Linked DNA regions of Ovis aries. The protein of the gene in region 1 purifies or fractionates together with the protein of each later gene. This does not show direct contact. Links are inferred from orthologs where the notes say so. Each region holds a gene or a part of one and is shown on either strand. Other genes may lie near its edges.

Evidence for each region. Proteins that work in one complex are often made in the same cells at the same time.
Region 2: the proteins of ACIN1 (region 1) and SAP18 fractionate together in Homo sapiens (co-fractionation; 7 studies listed by BioGRID and IntAct, with this or other methods). This does not show direct contact. The link is inferred for Ovis aries from reciprocal best matches to the Homo sapiens genes ACIN1 and SAP18.

What each region holds. Positions count from the first base shown.
Region 1 is NC_056060.1:21,612,407-21,616,052, reverse strand, and holds part of ACIN1 (apoptotic chromatin condensation inducer in the nucleus), read right to left. Parts: intron 3,214-3,646; coding exon 3,080-3,213; intron 2,986-3,079; coding exon 2,833-2,985; intron 2,308-2,832; coding exon 2,166-2,307; intron 1,836-2,165; coding exon 1,690-1,835; intron 1,438-1,689; coding exon 1,330-1,437; intron 1,192-1,329; coding exon 1,084-1,191; intron 873-1,083; coding exon 548-872; intron 439-547; coding exon 338-438; intron 1-337.
Region 2 is NC_056063.1:35,853,376-35,857,121, forward strand, and holds the start of SAP18 (histone deacetylase complex subunit SAP18), read right to left. Parts: upstream 2,888-3,746; 5' UTR 2,876-2,887; coding exon 2,747-2,875; intron 2,631-2,746; coding exon 2,521-2,630; intron 1-2,520. UniProt on the Homo sapiens protein: Component of the SIN3-repressing complex. Enhances the ability of SIN3-HDAC1-mediated transcriptional repression. When tethered to the promoter, it can direct the formation of a repressive complex to core histone proteins.

The DNA.
Region 1 (3,646 bases):
TAGAAAGGAAAAAGCAGAAAAATGGCTGAGTTTATAAAACACAAATTTTTCAGCTAACTAAAATCAACTTCCAAGAAGTGTGGCTGGCACACCCAGTTTGGATACACACACAAAGTTCCAATCTCCATGTCTACCTTCTACCTTTTTGGGTCTGGCTTTTCTAGGGCACAATCAACTGGGTCTTGAAACTACCTCTTTCCATGATGCTTAGCCTCTGCCTTATTATCCTAAGCCGACAGGATACCGAGGCCTACTCTCTCCCACAGTCACATGACTCTGCCCTCTGTGCCCCCTAGCCTGATGCATCTCTGAGCAGGGCGGGAAGGCAGGCACTCACCTGGCTGTCAGTCAGTGGGAGCCAATAGATGCAGGGAGCTGCCTTGGTCTTGCGGAAAAGGTCATCCAGCAGCTTGGCAGGTGGTTCCTCCTGAGCTTTCTCTGAGGTGGAAGGAAGTGGTTCAGACTTGATGCACGTGAGCCTGTGGCCCATCCCATTTGGGTCCCTTCCCCACTTACAGGTGGGTACTGTGCCCCTGCAGCTAAGTACCTTTCTTCTCACTCTTCTTTTCTTTAGACTTTGCGCGTTCCTTCCGGCGGCGATCACGGGACCGGGATCGGGATCGGGGCCCTTCTCGAACTTTGTCCCGATCCCATTCGCGCTCGGATCGAGTCCGCTCCCGCCGCTCCATTTCCCGTTCCCGTTCTGCCCACTGCTCCCGGACCGCCCGCTCCTGCTCCCGCTGTTCTGCCCTGGGGTGCTGTGGTGGCTGGGTTGGGGGTGGGGGCGGGGGGTGTAGTGGCCGTGGCATCCCCTGCTCCTCTGTCTTAGTTTCAGAGGGACGGTCCACCAAGAGGCCTCGGTGATAGTCCAGCTGTGGGCAGAGGAGGCAAAAGGGTGGAGACAACATCACGCCACTGAAGGAGCCCAGGCGCTGGCGAACAGACTCACGGCTCAACTCAGGAAACCAAAGTGGAGGGAGGAGCACCCTCAGAGACCACCAGTTTGGCCAGGGTCTCAGCTGGAGTCTCGCAGATGAGGGCCTCCCCTGCCCCTCCCCTCTTTCCTCTCCCTTGGTTTCTTACCTCATCTTGCTCAGCATAGTCAGCACAAAGGAATTTGGGGTTGGACTGGGGCCATTTGACCCCATGTAGAGCTGTGCGGGTGGCAACTGCTTCCTCTACTGTCGAGTACTGACGGAGGAAGGGAGAGGCAGAAGGTCACAACAGGCCTTCCCTCCCTCCCACTTGCCGTAAGGCCTCAAACCTGCCCACGTTGGTCACAAAAGGAGATATAGGGCACAACCTAGAGAACCAGCTTCTTCCCCTCACCGTTACAAAGCAGTGAGATTTGATCTTGTCAATCCAAAAAGCCTCTTCTACCAGAGTTCCTGTACGTCCCAACAACTCCTTCAGTTGGCCTAAAGTGAAGGGACGAACCTGCCAATGGAAATGAAACTTCAGGGTCTCGAAGAAGGCAAGAAATATGCTCAGGTGAGGCTCTCTACAAACTCCAGACAATCCTGAAAGGTGATACTTTTTTCTCATTTTTCATGAGACAGGTTATGAGGTTAAGTAACTCACTCAGAGTCACCGAGTGAGTAACCAGCAGATGCAGGAGCTGAACCTAAGAAACACGGGTCCACAGCTCTGACTCTACATCAAGCTGCACCGCTGGAAACGATGACTTACCAAATTGGAGATGTGGACGATGTTACTGATCTTGCCCCGGGGTGGGGAGGGCACCTGAGCAGTCCGGACTGGGTCATCAATCGTAATGGAAACTCCTGACTTCTGCTGGCTAATGGAACGTCGAGTTAAGGTATCTCCTAAAGTCACTATCAAATAGAGCACATGAATTGTTTTCAGCAGGGAGCAATGCTGGTTTTCGCCTTCAGCAGGACTTTTAAATTCCCTACCGGTAGTCACTCTTCTGTCTAAATGTGCTGAGTACCTGCACTGTGCAAGGTACAGTCCAGGCTGATCTCCTCATTATGGGGATGCAAAGATTAAACAGATTCGAACCTAGCCCTCAAGTAGCTTGTGTAACAAGACAGATGTGTAAAATACTACAACACAAGGCAGAAGACATTCGATGCTGTAAGAGGTCCACATCAGGTGCTCTGGGATCTCAAAGAGCCACACGTTTCACTCAGTGCTGCACCCACCTTTCTTGACTTCATGTTCCACAGGGGGCGGCAAGGCCACCTCTACTGAGACCTGGGGAGGTACAGGGGCTTCGGCTTCAGGCTCCTTCTCTTCTTCCTCCTCTTCCCTCTGCCCATTCTCCTGGCCCTCAGCAGGTACCACCTGTAAGGTATCAGATTAACAGAGGGATTCTTCAACACCAAACCGGCATATTCTTTCCTGCCTCTGGTTTCTTGGGGAGAGATGGTGGTAGTCAGCCTCAAGTGTTCTTTCCAGTGGGGGGAAGATTTCATTATTAGGGTCACCTCCGCCAGGTCCTGGGACTGGTAAGACCTTAACTCACCCATGAGGAAAACTAAGGCATGAATTGGCAAATTTTTTTCTGTATAGAGCAAGAGAGTAAACATGATAGAATTTGTGAGCCATACAGTTCCAACTAGTCAATTCTGGATATTATAGCACGGACGCAGCCATAGAGAAAAATATATAAACTGGTGTTAACTGTGTTCTAACAGAACTTCATTACAGGCAACAGGTTAGATTTTGTATTCTGCGGACCCCTACAAAGGTCAATTAAGCCAACCCTCTGCACAGATTTCCCTTCTAGAGCTCCACCTTAGCTCCCTACTTAGCAACTTACTCTGCATTCAGACCCCCCTCCCCCAAAGTGGGGCACAGGAGCCTTACCTGAGTGACAGTCCGGCATATTTTCAGCCCCTTGTCATGGGTCCCATCATCACCATTACGCTCTGTCTCATCCTCAGAGATTCGGGAGTCGTCAGCATGAAGATCCACAACAGCCTCCTGCCCCGCCAGGGGTTTGATGTCGGGGATGAGGCTCTGGGACACAGATACCCCCCACCCCGTTACACTGGGCCCATGTCTACTCCCACCGCATGTCTCATCCTCCCTTCCCCGGCCCCTCCCACCTCACCTTGAGTGATTCGGTGGTGATACTGATGGAGGGTTTCTTCTGGGTGGCGGCTGTGCTGGCTCCCCAACGCCGCTTCCGACTAGGCTGGCCCCCCTCTGTGTCACTGTTTCCAGCCGGCACCCCCTTGGTAGCTGCTGTCCCCAAGAAACAGGACCCCACAGTTAGATGGTCCCAGGCTCTCTGCTGGTTCACACCACAACACCCACAGATAGCCTTCAACTGGAATTTTAGTGAAAGATTAACTTAAGGATATCACTTTGGGGGACTGGGGAAATCGTGTTTCAGAGTAAATGGAAAGCCTGGAGCCACTTCCTGAAAGATTAAAACTACTGATCTCTGAAGGCAAAAAGGGAGAAGTAACTAGGCTGGTGAGCATTTAAACTTTTACTGGTAGAAAAACCTAAAGCACTGGGGAAGACATACTGAGGATGACATGGGAATGAGAAGACTGTATGATAATAAAATTCAAGTTAGTTTTAGATCATGACATGACCTGGTTATGCTTTAGATAGTATTAACACTAATAGATTGATATTTAAGTCATAAAGATCTATTAAATACTACACT
Region 2 (3,746 bases), on another chromosome or scaffold:
AGGAGCCCTAAGGCATTAAGCAGGGGGTCAAACACCCAAGAAGTCATCTAGTTTTAACTCAGTTCCCTATTTACACCAGCTCCACTACATCACATTCAGGTAAAAAACCATGGCTTCAGCTGCACTGAGAGCAAAAAGGCCACAATGATCACATCACCTTTCCTCCTCTACTGCTGCTGAATCCTTCTCAATACACCCGAAACAACTCTACAGTGTCCCCCAAATATGCCCTTCTTCTCATATGACCATCACCCTCTTAGATGCCCAGGTCACAAACCTAAGAGTGGTAAAGTTCTTCCCATTGCTGGCCTGTTATTTCTACCTCCTAAAGACAGATCAAGTAGGACTTCCCTGGTGGTCCCGTGGCTGACTCCAGGATTCCACTGCAGGGGGCACAGGTTTCCATCCCTGCTTGGGGAACTAAGATCCTGCAAGTTCTGAAGTGCAGCCAAAAGACAGATCAATCTATTTTTTTTCTCCATTCCCACCATCAGGCTATATTTAACCTCTCATTATTCAAATCTCTGCAAGAGTTCCTGGTGACTGTAAGGGTCAATTTTATATGTCAACTTAGGAAACTACAGCTCCTAATTATTCAATCAAACAAACACTAAGGTATGTGTTTTTGAGACAGGATCAAAAATCTATAATCAGTTGACTTTAAAGTGATTATCCAAGATGATCTGAGTAAACTTCATTAAATCAATCAGTGGGCCTCATTCAATCAGGTTGAAAAGGCTTCATACTGGACCTAAGACTTCCCTGAAGAAATTCCAAAAGCTTATGATGGAGAGTTCCAGCCACAGACCTAGGCAATCCCCACAACTATGTGAGCCATTTCTTGCTCTGTCTCCTATTGGTCTGTTTTTCTCACTGAACCCTATTTCAGTAATTGAGATAATTCTCTTCCAGTAACCTGTTTAGTGACCACCCAAGCACAAGATCTATCACTCCTGGGGTGGGGTGTTCCCCCAGCTCCACACAGTCCCTTGGACTTTAGCCAATTCAACTAGCTTCTGCTGGGCTCCTCACTCCTCTTTCCTGGACTTATCTCAAGGCCACCTACTTTGGCCCCTCAATCTATTTCTACAAATTGGGAATCCCCAATCTTCCCTCATTGCTGCTTCTGGAATGACAGCAGGGCTCCATTCTGTCCCTCACCAACATCCAGTCTGTCCACCATTTTGAGGTGTAAGATAAGGTTGTCTTGTTTGGTTGCAGTTTATGGACAGGACAATTGAGGACGGGATTTAATTTTTTGTAATTTTTTTTTTCCTTGATTGAGAGTAGAGAGTGTGGCACAATCTCACCCTCCATTTATTCCATCTGCTTTCTTTTGGAGATTGAGTTTACTCTAGAGAGGGGGTGTAACCCTCTTTATACTCTTCAGTCAAAGCAAGTATCTGGCAAGTAGGAACTCTAAATTTATTAGAGGAAATATAGACTAATCTGAACAGAAGTGTTCATCAATCTGTTAATAAAAGTTCTTCTCTGTAAGTTAAATCGACCTTCCTGAGCTGTTTTCCTGGAATAATACTGAACTGGAATCATACTACATAAACTTAGCTGAACATAAATCATACTGTAATCCCACCGTGTTCACCAGCAGACAAGTGGACAGACAAGATGTAGCAAAGCCTTCCAATGAAACGTTATTCAGTCAGTCATAAAAAACAATCACGTTTTTTCATATCCTTAATCATCAATAAACCTTGATTATAAGTGAAACAGGCCAGACACAAGACGACAAATACCATATGGGAGCATTTATATGAAGTACTTAAAAGAGACAGATTCACATACATAATGGCGACCAGGGGAAATGAAGAATTCCCATTATTACCTACTGGGTACAGACCTGTTGTAGGGAATTTAAAAGTTTTGAAAATAGATAGTAGTAATGGTTGCACCGAAATGTACCCTGAAACAATTAAAATGACAAATGTCACATATTTTACATTAGGCATATTTTAAATAATTATACACCTTTTACTGCTACTATAAAGCCACTGTAACGTCAAACCAAGGAACTGCATACGGCTTGCTGTACGTAACGGCCCTAGTAAGACGTGGGTAGTGAAGGTACACAAACATTCAGGGGGAGACCCTCAGTAAACACATCAAAAGCTTCTCCATTAAGCACATCAAAATCCACCCGGTTTCGTTGTTTTGAAGCGCGTTTTAGCACACGCGCGCTCTATGAGGACGACGAGTATCACCCAACAGCACCACTCCCCTCCCCAAATTATTCTAGCGCCACCCTCTACCAAGAGCCCCTTGGGAGCCGCTGCGGTACTGGACGCTCGACGTGTCACTTCCGTACCCAGCAGCCACAACAGTGACAGCAGTCCTGGGTCAATTCTTTACAACCCAGAAGTTTCAACGTGAGCGGTCGAAGTGCCACAAGACGAGTTAACACCATTTCCTCACCGAACCTCGACCTCCCGCGAGCTGCCTCCAGAGGCCCCGATCCGAGGAGAGCCCGAAGGCGGCAGGCGGGCCCCCGGCCCCCTGACTCACCAAGTATAGATCTGCAGCTCGCTGGACGGCACGTTTCCGCGGGAGAACTCGTCCATGCGGTGGTGGCGGCCGTTGTTGGTGGTGAAGACGCGCAGGAGCAGCGGGCAGGTCTGGGGGCGGGACAGCGGGGAGTCAGGAGGCTGCACGCGCGGTCCCGACCCTTCCCTCCGGCCCCGCACCGCCGCCCCACCTCCCCAGGGACCCCTGCATCTCTCCGGACCCTCACCTTCTCCCGATCGATGGGCTTCTCCGGCTCCTTCTTAATTTCCTCCTGGGTAACGCGCGACTCCACCGCCATCTTCCTTCTCCGGCCCGCAAGACGCTCGCTCTGACCTCCGACCCCGGCAGAGAGCATGAGAACCAAGCCTCTCGCGAGGATACGCTCGAGGTTTTATATATGACCGGCTCGAGGGCGGGGTGTCTCCCGGCGCAGGCGCACTAGCTATGCTAAGCTCTAGCCCGTTAGGCGCGCCTGCGTGTTGCCTCCTGGGAAGGGGCGGGCACTGGCGTCGTGGGCGGGGCGCTGAAGGAGGGGCTCCGCCGCAGGGGGACGGCCTGAGGGACGCGGACGCGGGACTGCGGAAGCTGAGAGTGAACGCGCGCTCGGAATTGTAGTGGGCGGCCCTCAGGGCGGAGGCCGGGGCGCTGTTGTGTGAACTACAGTCGCTAACCGGAAAAGGCGGGTAGACCTGATTAGATTAAAAAGAGGAAAAACAAAATTTAAGAGAGGAGCCGACTGGGAGGAGACGACTGAGAGGCGTGTGGTGGCCGGAAAGCTGGTATCCAGAGCGTCCATGGACTCCTGGAGAAAAGCACGGTGGGAAGTGGGGGAAAGAGTTGGAAAGGTGCTTTAAAACGAAGAAGTCCAGGAGTCCGGTCAACATCGAAGGCTCTGGAGCGCAGGGCTAACCCGGACCCGCTAAAACCACAGGGACTGGCTTTTCAGGAAGAAAAATTATGACCATCCTAGACAGCATATTTAAAAAACAGAGACATTCCTTTGCCAACAAAGGTCAGTTTAGTCAAAGCTATGGTCTTTCCAGTAGTCATGTATGGATGTGAGAGTTGGACTTTAAAGAAAGTTGAACCCTGAAGAATTTATGCTTTTGAACTGTGGTGTTGGAGAAGACTCTTGAGAGTCTCTTGGACTGCACGGAGCTCCAACCAGTCTGTCCTAAAGGAAATCAGTCCTGTATATTCATTAGAAGGACTGATGCTGAAGCGGA